Linked DNA regions of Elephas maximus indicus. The main gene of each other region encodes a partner of the protein of the gene in region 2 in a complex. Links are inferred from orthologs where the notes say so. Each region holds a gene or a part of one and is shown on either strand. Other genes may lie near its edges. The genes, in order: MYBL2, RBL1 and LIN52.

The links.
Region 1: RBL1 (region 2) and MYBL2 share a complex: the UniProt entries of both Homo sapiens proteins name them as parts of the DREAM complex. The link is inferred for Elephas maximus indicus from reciprocal best matches to the Homo sapiens genes RBL1 and MYBL2.
Region 3: RBL1 (region 2) and LIN52 share a complex: the UniProt entries of both Homo sapiens proteins name them as parts of the DREAM complex. The link is inferred for Elephas maximus indicus from reciprocal best matches to the Homo sapiens genes RBL1 and LIN52.

Annotation. Positions count from the first base shown.
Region 1 is NC_064843.1:25,661,603-25,665,349, reverse strand, and holds the start of MYBL2 (myb-related protein B), read left to right. Parts: upstream 1-906; 5' UTR 907-1,111; coding exon 1,112-1,131; intron 1,132-3,747. UniProt on the Homo sapiens protein: Transcription factor involved in the regulation of cell survival, proliferation, and differentiation. Transactivates the expression of the CLU gene.
Region 2 is NC_064843.1:32,492,838-32,496,584, forward strand, and holds the start of RBL1 (retinoblastoma-like protein 1), read left to right. Parts: upstream 1-915; 5' UTR 916-1,155; coding exon 1,156-1,311; intron 1,312-3,747. UniProt on the Homo sapiens protein: Key regulator of entry into cell division. Directly involved in heterochromatin formation by maintaining overall chromatin structure and, in particular, that of constitutive heterochromatin by stabilizing histone methylation.
Region 3 is NC_064828.1:86,792,155-86,795,901, reverse strand, and holds the start of LIN52 (protein lin-52 homolog), read right to left. Parts: upstream 2,677-3,747; 5' UTR 2,582-2,676; coding exon 2,551-2,581; intron 1-2,550. Other genes in the region: ALDH6A1 (methylmalonate-semialdehyde dehydrogenase [acylating], mitochondrial), read left to right, coding at 3,123-3,170, 3,357-3,516.

The DNA.
Region 1 (3,747 bases), about 6.8 Mb from region 2:
GAAGCCCAGCGTGGGCATGATAAGAAGTAGGTTCTTGGTAAGCGTCAACTTAAAATGGAAAATCCTTGCTAAGCCTCTCGGAGTTTAAGCACTTCGTAAATAGAATTCAACTCAACAGACATACCTGGGACCTCCTATGCTAGGCCTTGTCTGGGCTCTAGGGATACTGGGGTGGATTCAGAGGCCTTTTGGACTCCAAGATGCTCAAAGTTTAAAGGAGGAAATGCACAAGTCAACAGCTGGTTATGGACAGCCGACTTCAAGGATAAGTAAGAATTAGGTGGGAGGGGTAATAGTGCAAGCAAAGGCAAGGAGGCAGGAAACTTCTTTCAGCGGGGGTGGGGTGGGGTGGGTGATGATTCAGGCAGAGGCTATGAGCCTGATTGTGTAGGAAGGAATTTATCCCGAGGGAGAGAAGAAAGGGTCTTAAGTTCAGGAGAGACTAAGTGAAGTTTGTATTTCAGAAGTGTCACTCGGGCCGCCAATTCGAGGCTGCAGAGAAAGCAGGAAGGTACAGGTAGGATTAAGGGGGCCATTTTAGGGCGGGGCTGTAGCGACCCGGAGAAGCGAGGCTTCGACTAGCCCTGGGGTTTTTGCACAGGTGGTTTTCCCAGCCTGACTTTTCCATCCTTGCCCCTCACTCCTTTTTGACAGTCCTTGCTGTGTGGGCCGTCCCAGACCAATACTTGACTTGAACCCGCTCAGTCATATGGTGCTCACAAGTCCCATCTCCTAAGTCGCCACCGCGGCCCCTGTCATCATGGAACCTCTGGGCCTGTGCAGCGCCAGCCCCGCCCCCGCTGGCCCCGCCCAGGCCCCACACAGGCCCCGCCCAGGCCCCGCCCCTGCGCACGTCTGCCCGCCCGCGCGCCAGGCCCGGGAGGCGCCGACGCGCTTGGCGCGAGATAGGAAAGTGCTTCTGTGCGCGCCGGCCGCGGCCGTAGCTCCAGCGCGCGGACGGCGGAACCTGAGGACACGCTGACCGAACCTAGCGCGGCCCGGGGCCCGGAGCGGCCGGAGCAGCTAGTGTCCTGGCCCCGGCCTCGGCCCGGCTGCGGCTCCGGCTCCGGGCTCAGCTGGCGAGCCGGCGGGCGCAGCGCGACTTGGGGGGATGTCTCGGCGGACGCGCGGGTGAGCGGAGCTGGGTGGGCTGAGGGCCCTTCCTACCCCCTTTCCACCCCCACCGCCACCCACACCTCGTTCCACTCCACCTCGCCGTGGCCCCTTCGCGCGGGGCGTCTGGGGGGTTCCTCAGGAAATGCTGTGTCCTGGGCGGCCCGAGGCAGGGGCGCGCGCATAAAGCCATGGGTCCCTTGGGACCCCTCGCTCCGCTCCCCTGGCCTGCTCGGTGTCTGAGCCGGGGCGGGCGGGTCTCCCGGGGCCCGGGCCAGGCCCTGCATGATGTCATTTTGTCTCCCGCCTAATTGCGGTGTGGGGGTGGGACGGCCGGTGTCAGCTGGAAGGGCCTTTACAGGGGGAGGGAGGTGCCCCCCGGGGAGGGAAAATGTCTCCCCAACTCACGACGAGTAGGAGGCCAAAGCCTGAAAGACACTTGTCGTTCAAGCCTCAGTTTTGGTTCAGACTTCCCCCTTGGGCCTTTTCCCCCAACATTCGGGGAAGCACAGCACTTCAAGCCCTCTAAGCCCCCTCCCTCCGTCTGAGAAGGGTGCTGGGGAGGGGGCTCTTTTGTCTCCCCAGCCTGGGCTCTGTGCCCCAGCTTGGTTTAGTTTTGGAGAGCTCTCTTTGTGTTCTACCCTAGGAGTTTTGGAGCTGAAATTGAAGGTGGGGGAAAGAGAGACTGAGGTGTATGTATCAAGACTGCTCTGTGCCACTGGCCCCTGGGGCAAAGTCAGGGGCTGTGGTCTCCATTTTACTTAGTCCCCAGAGAATTAAGTGGCAGAGTCGATCCTGGAGCCAAGTCTGTGGGCCCCAGTGCCCCTTCATTTGGGGCCTGAGCTCTGGGAGTCATGGAGAACAGTGGGGTCCTGCCCTCTTCCCTCCCTGGATACCAGCAGCCCAGATAACCCCAGGCCCCTCTTCAGATGGTGGTGTTTGCCTTCTCAGGCCGAAGATGTAGACCTGTGACTCCATAACTGCCAGCTTTCCCGAGTCCTTCTCAATGCAGAAGTATGCTCAGGTTTGGTCCTCAGGGCCCGTAGTCCTGCCACAGGGACTGTCTTCCTCAGGCCAGTTTACCAGGGCAGCTCAGGTCCCTTGGAAGTGTTACTCCAGTGATGGCTGCCCCCACATGATGTCCAGGTCCTCTGATCCCCAGGTTTTCCACCAGTTCTCCCCTGGGGCTAAGTGGAGGGACCCCTCCCATGTTAGGGATGGGGCCTGTACCCTGGAACCCCAAACCCTCAACTTATTTCTTGGCCACTCACTGTAACTCTCCTCTGCCCCAGTGTCCCAGTTCCTGCTCAGCCTCTGACTCACCCTGGCCCTGGAGCAGAGCCCAGCACATTGAAGGGCAAAAGAAAGGGTGTGTTGCAGGGAAAGCAGTTGCCACCATTAACTTGGCCTCTGCTTTTTTAGCTGGGATTTACAGGTGAGGACTTAAAGGTGAGGACTTAAAGGTGCAGAGTTGAGGTCCTGGGCCTAGCTGTGTGGACGTGGAAAGTGAACCCTGTGAGCCTCAGTTTCCACACCTATTAAATGGGGATAATGACAGTGCCTGGGGAGTAGATGGCCAGCACTATGTGGATGATGGATATACCTCACTAGGTTCTCCCAGCTGTCTGAGATGTCCGCATTTAACAGAGCCTTGACACACCAGAAGAGTGTCCACACAGGCACCCTTTTCTCCCTGAAGACACGTTGGCTGAGCTTCTGTTAGAAGTAGATGTTTCTGTCAGTGAGGAGTCTGAGGGCAGTTGGGCTTTTTTTGTCCTGTATGTATTTTTTTAATTATGGAAAATATGTATGTAAGAAAACATTTGTCATTTCAACATTTTTTTAGGTACAATTCAGTGACGTTAATTACATTCGTCATGTTGTTTAACCATCACCATTATCCGTTCCCAAATTTTTCGAACACTTTCAGCAGAAGCTTAGCGTCCCCTAAGTGATGAGTCTGGGGCAGTTCATTTTAAAGCCAGCGTCATTCTGTTACAGTGTCTTGTAGATGTATTGCCTCCTACTTTGCAGTAGAGGAGCCCTGGTGGCACAACAGTTAAAGTGCTCGGCTGCTACCCCAAAGGTTGGCAGTTTGAACCTGCCCAGTAGCTTCAAGGGAGAAAGAAGTGGCAATCTCCTGTAAAAGTTGTTGTGTGCTGTCAATTCTGGCTTGTAGCGACCCTTAGGACAGAGAACTGCCCCCTAAGGTTTCTAAGACTGTAAAGTTTACAGAAGCCAACTGCTACATCTTTCTCCTGAGGAGCAGTTACTGGGTTCGATATGTAAAAACCCTCTGCTGTCCAGTCAATTCTGACTCATAGTGACCCTATAGGACAGAGTAGAACTGCCCCGTAGAGTTTCCAAGGAGTGCCTGGCAGATTTGAACTGCCGACCTCTTGGTTAGCAGCCGTAGCACTTAACCATTATGCCACCAGGGTTTCCGAGGGTTCGATATGTAGTATATATTATTTTGTGCCTGGCTTCTCCTGTCAACATACGTATTTTAATGTGATAGTCCACCATGTCATGTAATTGTGGTATAAAACTCCTTTGAAGAAAATGCTACTAGTTAATTTTTCATTTTATTTCTATAGACATGTGGTTTTCAGTTTTATGCGCTTCAAAAAACAA
Region 2 (3,747 bases):
AAGATCATTTCAGATAGTGATAAGGTGCTATGAAGATAATGAAACAGGGTATGGGGAGGAAGGAAAGTCAGCTACTTTAGACACAGAGCTCAGGGATGGACTGAGAAAGTGACACTTAATTGAACTGAAGTGAAGAGGAGCCAGGTAAGCAAAAAGCTGACAGGCAGTTTGGTCAGCATATGAGAAAGACCTTTTGAGGCAAGAACTAGCTTGGCATTTTCCAGAGTCCAAAACAAAGTGAAGCTGGAAGTACAAGGCACTAGATGAGGCGGGCCAGGTTACATAGGGCCTTGTGGGCCACGGAAAGGAGCTTGGGTATTATCTTAAGCAAAGGTATTCGCAGAATGATATTAATCAAAGGAGTGCCATGCTCTGATTTACCTTTTAAAAAGATCACTCTGGCTTTTCCTGAAGTTTTGTTGGAACAGAAGGATAAGCTCTAAGACCTGAAGAGTATTCCTAAGCCTGAAATGGCTGTCTTTATTGAGAAAGTTCCCAAAGTCTAGAGAGCTGAAAAAGGGACTCCTTAATGATGAATGGGGAGATACCCCTTAATATACTTGCCTCACCAGCCCTGTGATAGTCTAGAGCACATTCATCCAACACTGGAGACATCCCAGGAGGCACTGCCTCCATCTCGCAATTCAAGTGCCTAAGCTCAGTCAAAGATGGGCTGTTTGGCGCCTCTGGACACCAACAGAGACAGGGCTGATAAGACTGGCGGGGCAGAGGACGCTTCTCGCTAAATAAATGTCACCCCAACCCCTCCCAAACCGGTAAGAGCGGTGCCGCCAGCTTCAGGGCAGGATGCGGACTACAACTCCCAGTAGGCTTCGCGCGCTGGCTGCAGACCCCCCCCCCCCCCGCTCTCTATTTGCCGCCCTGGCTGGCCCACCGCTGCCCTTCAAGGGCCAAGTACAATTTTTCCAGGACCCAAGATCCGTTTTGTTATCCCATTTCTAGAGAAGGTGGCTGGGAGCTCAGGAGAGGAAATGGACTTTTTTGAAGAGAAAAGCGGAGGGAGACGATGGAGAAGGCGTCGCTAAAGTGTCGCTGATTTTCGCGCGCTTTGGCGCGGGTGGTTGTGGGTAGCGCGCCCGGGAAGGAGGTTGGAGTCGGGGGGCTGCGACCGCGCCACCCGCAGGGCCTGAGGGGATGTTCGAGGACGAGGCCCACGCGGAGGGGGCGGCGGTGGTCGCCGCGGCCGGGGAAGCACTTCAGGCCCTATGCCAAGAGCTGAACCTGGACGAGGGGAGCGCGGCCAAAGCCCTGGACGACTTCACCGCCATCCGGGGCAACTACAGCCTAGAGGTGAGCGGCCGCAGGTGGGGCGGCCGGACCGGACCCTCGGCGCAGTGAGCCAGCGGCCAGGCCCCACCCCCGCCCCGCCCCGCCCCGCCGCTACTCTTTGGGGTGGTGGGAGTTCCCCGCCGAGAAGGGTCGCTGCCAGCCGGGCGCCAATAAGTGCAGAGCTGAAGGGGCGGGTGTAGCTCAGTCAGCCCACCCAGTTTTTGAAGCGGGAAACAAACCCAGAAAAGGAGCGGCTTGTCCAAGGTCACATTTCAGTCAGGGGTCTTCTAGACCCGTGGCTTCCACACCTGACCTCCCTCCAGCCCGCCAAGCGTCACACACGCAAAGGTACCGCCCGTACATTTGTAAAAACAAATACGGTAAAAAAAAAAAAAAAAAATTTTTTTAGTGAATTCGCGTTCCAAGATACTGCTCAGGGCTTTAAATATGCCATCTCAGTTCTCTCCACAACCCTCTGAAAACGTTCTCTGATCCCATTTCACAGTTGAGAAATCTGAGCGCCAAAGAGGTGTCCAACGTCACAGGGCTATTAGTGGAGCCAGATATTGGAGTCAGCTTTTTAAAACCCTTCCAAGACCCGTGGGACATGATGTGTCCCACTCACTTTTTATGCCTCTGGAGTTCTTTGGAAAGGGAGTAGCCCGATTTTAATGTGTTAGCCTCAAGGTGAGAGCCTTTTGAAATGTGTGAAACTCGAAAATCCTGAGTGGGAGCCTCATTTTTGTGTAGATAATTTCAGATGTGTGAAATTTTAAAACTTCTGACAGATTTGCTTTTATTTCTGTGAATTAAGCGTCTTCACTGTGTTTCCCCGTTACTGTGTTCTCTTGAGAATAAACTCTTGCCAGTCTTCATTTAGTCATAGTGGCCATTTTCTCCTTTATGCCATTCGTTGTTTCCAGGTGTTACTGGTTCCCTTCTTTTCCAGCTTCTGAACAGTAAATAATGCTTTTCCAATAAGGAGTAAAACATGACAGTGGTACTTTTCAAGAGATTGATTGGAACTCCTATAAGTTATTCTCACCCTGTATTCAATTCCAGGGCACAGTAATTGCTTCCCTGTGTAGCAGATGGAATGCATCAGGGTGAGCAGTTCTGCTGTATTCTAGGGCAGCTGTTTCTGCTGCTTAGCTGTTCGTACTATGTTTGTTATAATGAAGCATACATATTAGCAGTAATTTTCCTGAGATTCAAATCCCTTTATTTTTATTCTAAGCACTGCTTTTGCCATAAGGAAGAAAGCATTGTAGTGATAATTTTCCTGAGATTAAAAAAAATCCCTTGGTTTTATTTATCTGGGCTGTAAATACTGCTTTTGCAGTAAGGAAGAATGCATTGTTCATGTTTTGAAAAATTTCATGAAAAATAATAAAAAGGTCGTCTTGGTCATCTAGTGCTGCTATACCACAAGCGGATGGCTTTAACAAAGAGAAATTTATTTTCTCACAGTTAGTAGGCTAAAAGTCCAAATGCAGGGCGCCAGCTCCAAGGGAAGGCTTTCTTTGTTGACTCTGGAGGAAGGTCCTTGTCATGAATTTTCCTGTGGCCTAGGAGCTTCTCTGTGTGGGAACCTTGGGTCCAAAGGATAAGCTCTGCTGCTCATGCTCCTTCTTGGTGGTATGAGGTCCCCATGTCTCTTTGGTTTCTCTTTTATATCTCAAAAGAAAATGGCTTATGACACTATCTAATCTTGGAGATCTCATCAATATAACTGCGGCTAATCCATCTCATTACATCATAGTGATAGCATTTACAGCACAGGGAAATCATATCAGATGACAGAATGGTAGACAATCATACAATACTGGGAATCATGACCTACCCAAGTTGACAGATATTTTGGGAGGACACAATTCAATCCCCGACAAAGGCTAAGAAAAGTGAGACTAGAATAAAATGTGTGTGCAGTCATTACCATGTGCTTTCATGTTTTACCTCATGTTTTGCAAATTTTCAAGAAATTAAAAAAAAAAAAGATTTTATTATTGACTCATAGTGGTAGAATTAGTGTCTTCCAGGGGCAGCTGGGATACTGGGATCCCAGATAATGGGTATCAAAATTCATAACTCATAACAAAAATTCTGAATTGATCCTTTAATCAGCATGCCTTCATCAGTGAAAGCACATAGTATCAACAAAAAATTCAAAGGAGAAAGTAATTGGGTCTTGAAAGGGTTAACCTCTCTACCTTCTGCCTCACTAGGTTGGAGGAGAGGGTTGCTCACTTTGTAGCATTGCATTGTACAGTAGCTTGATCAAAGCTAGTATGCAAACAGTGCTTACCTCTCAACCCCAATCTCCTCCTCTGTCAGATGAGGATAATAGTACTTAACACATTTGGTTGGTGGTATGATTAAATGTGTTTACCTGATGCCTAGTCTAGTGTGGACTCTGAGTAAAATAAATATAGGTAGTCCCCAACTTACTGTTCTGTT
Region 3 (3,747 bases), on a different chromosome or scaffold from region 2:
CCCTCAATGAGACAGACTGACACAGGAGCTGCAACAGTGGCCTCAAAGATGGCAGTGACTGTGAGGATGGCACAGGACTGTGTAGTGTTTTGTTCTACTGTATATAGCGTCACTATGAGTAGGAACCGGCTGGATGGCACCTAACAACAACAACAAATGTATGTACAAATACATACACACACATATATAATATTTTTAAACATGTACTTTTCTCTAAACCAAATATTTTCGGGGAATTTCTGATGGTATTGTAATTGGTAAAGAGCTCAAATGTAATGAATTGCCTTAACTAAAGCATCCAGAAATGGTTTAAAAAAAAAAAGCTGTAACACAAAATGCAAACTTTCAAATTCCCAAAAACATTATTAATGGGAAGCTCAACCACAATAAAATAAACTTATTGGCGGTGGGTTCCACAATAATCAAAGGTGGTTTTATGACACTACAGTCTGTGGCATTATTCAGACTCTGCTGTGACTCTTACTTTCATAATAAGTAATTAAATGGCTTTATTTGGATTTCAACTTTCTTCTTTTCAAAGACTCAGCAAATGTATAACTTAAAAAGATGAAAGATTAAACAGTACATACTTATTTTCAAATCAGCATTATCTGAATTAAAATTTAAAGACAGAGACAGGTGGAACACTAAAAATAGAAATGAGAGAGCTGTAGGCAGTTGGATTTTTTTTGACGCAATGCTTATTTAGAAGCAGAATTTAAATTCAAAGTGTTCAACTTGATGTTGTCAGATTAAAAAGAAAAGGGCTGAAAAAGGTGGAATTCTGTAAGAAATCAGAATGGAAACTTGTAAAAATCAAGTAACCACAGAGATGGTTGGATGACCAAAGGGGGAAAAAAAAATTTCAAATACTCTTCCTGGCCTAAGAAAGAAAAAAATTAAGACAGGGAATTATCAAAAAAGGGACACAGCTCTGAAATCTCAAAAACGTATAAAAACAAGGTAGTAATAAACTAAAAATTTTAATAGCAATTATTTCTACTTCTATCGCTTAGCTGACTTTTTAAATGCCTCTCTTTTCTGGGAGAAGAAAGACATTTTAGCAAGAGAGCATCCAGGCAGGAGATTCTCTTCTGACCCATAATTTCTTATACAATAGGTACCTGTGCTCAAAAACATACGATTTTCCACCAGGTAATGTATTATTTATGCATACATATAATCATTCAATAAGTATCAATTGAAGGCTTACCGACTGCCAAGCACTGTGCTAAAAACCCTGGGATACCACTGTGAATAAAACTGAGTTGTCATTTATAATTCAGCGAGAAAGAGGAAAATTAACAGAGTAACTATGTTGACAATGAAGGATGAAGTATACTGAGGTGCTGAATAATGGTGGAGAGGGGCAACTCCACATACTGCGGTCTAGGAAAACCTCTCTGAGAAGGGACATCTACGATGACACCTGAAACTGAAAAAGTGTTTACATGTTTCGTTCATCTTTTTTGTCTCCCAAAGAATCTAACATTGTGCCTTTCATATTGTAGATACCCGACATACTTTCTCTCCTGGCCTCAATTTTCTCATTCTTAATATCATGAACTTCCAAGATTCCTTCCAAACACAATGTGTTTGTGAGAGAGGGAAAAACTACATCTCAGTGAAATCGGCGGTAAAAGCAAAAATGAAGTGAGTTAAAAATCTCTGCAAGAACGTGAATTTACGTAAGTGTAGGAGGGACAATTCAGAAAAGGAGGATGAGAACGGCTGCACAATTTGAAGAATGTAATCGGTGTCACTGAACTGCCCATGTTGAAATTGCTGAATTGGTATACGTGTTGTTGCGTATATTTTCAACAACAACAACAAATCACTGCAAGACCCTAACTCTCTTAAGCAGAACCAACGCAAAAGCATGTGGGTATGAAAAAACCACAAAACTGCTACCTGAGATGACCTGCATCTTAGACAACACATAAACAGAAACAACTGTTCATTTACTCGGCGTGAGGAACCAATAATACCTACAGATGAAGAGAGGCTGCGACGTGTGCAAAACCACACCAAATAGCTCAATTCGCATTCTCCTCAGGACTTTAATGGCGAGGGGCCAAGAAGGTCCCCGGCTTTTCTTGCCACCGGAGCAACTGTCCCAATCTGAGGGAACGGGAGAGAATCACGTTTCTCTTTTGCGACTCAGTCCCGGGATGAGGTCAGCTACCAACCCCACCTAGGGCTTCAGAGACTCGCTCGGGATGCTCAATGAGAAGAGAACCGACCCTTCAATGGGGTGCCCCGAGAAAACTACAGTAAAAGGTACCTCTCCTCGGCCCTCAGCCTCACCCGCATAGAGCTAATGGAGAGCCGGAGCGACCCCGCCCTTCTGCGGGGAAACTGGCACCTCCGGAGCCTCGGTGAAGAACCGGCGAGCTGACGAAAGGGACGCATCCCAAGGAAAAGAAGTAGTAAAGTAAAAGAGAGGGGCCCAAGAAAGAAGTGTAAATTCTAAGGGCAGACGGACAGTGGAAATTCTCAGGAGCAATGAAAGAGGTAGGTGGCAGGCGGAGACTCTAAGCCGGCTCTTACCGTCTGTGGGAGACGCCATCTTCCAACCCATGTCACGTGACGTGGCCAACCGTCGGCGGGAAAGCAGGAGTCCCCAAGCCCCGCCCCGAACGGGGAACCCTATCCCCAACTCGCGGCCGGGTCTTGTTTCGCCGCCGCGTAGGGCGATCTTTGCCTAGCCCCGCCCCCTCGGTGCTAGCCACACCCCCTAACGCTGTTGTTGAGGAGGGGCGACTACAAAGTTCTTGGAAGATCTTATTTACCTTCCTCAGTGAGGGGAGGGGGCGGCCCGTGGTCATGCCTGTGGCCAATCGGAGTTCCGGATTAGGGGGCGTCTCCTTTTAGAGCGCCCAAGTCACGGGGGCGTCTTCCCTACATCCGCCAATAGAATTTGCTGAGGTGGGAGGGGGCAAGAGCTCTTCCACTTCTGCCAATCACACATCCCCAGCTGGGAATGAGGGCGACTGATTGGCTAAGGGGAATGGTCTTCTCTGCAAATGAAGAGGTCCGGCAGGATGGAGGGGCGGGTCCTGGCAGCGGCGGCGCTGCTGGGGACCTCTGAGGCAGTAGTGGCGAAGAGGCGGCGAGGAGCCATGGCGGCGGTGGTAGCAGCGGCAGCAGTGCGGGCCCGGATCCTGCAGGCGAGTGAGGGTGCCGCCGAGGGATCGCGAAGCTAGGAATTGGATCCTTTCCGCGCACGCTCTAAGCCAACCTCGGGTGGGACCGTTTTCCTGGCCGAGACCCCTCTTGACTGACCCTGGAGTTCACACCCGACCCGTACGGCCCTGTCCTCCCCACCCCTCACTTTGTACTCTCCCTTGTCCCAGATCCAGCCCTGGGCCAACACCCCTGGCCCATCACCCCCTGGGCCGTCACCCCTGGGCTATCACCCCCGGCCTCGCCGCTTTACAGCGGAGCCTCCGCTTCTCTGGCCCCGCCCCTCCCTGCCTTCACTCTTGTTCTCATCTCTTTCGGTGCACCCACCAGGTACGTAGTGTACACTTCTAGGAGATTGAAAGTTCATTCTGTGACCCTTGCCCCAGGTTTCAGTGAATTCTACTGCAGAAACGATTGCATTTTGAAGATTCTTGACAGAGTCAGCAAAGGTTCATGTTTAAATGTGCTCTTTAACGTGACACCATGGAAAAGTGGGTTGCAGGGGTTTATCTGGTGGTCTGGCTCCGCTCATATATTTCTTGCTGTGATTTTTTTTCCTAA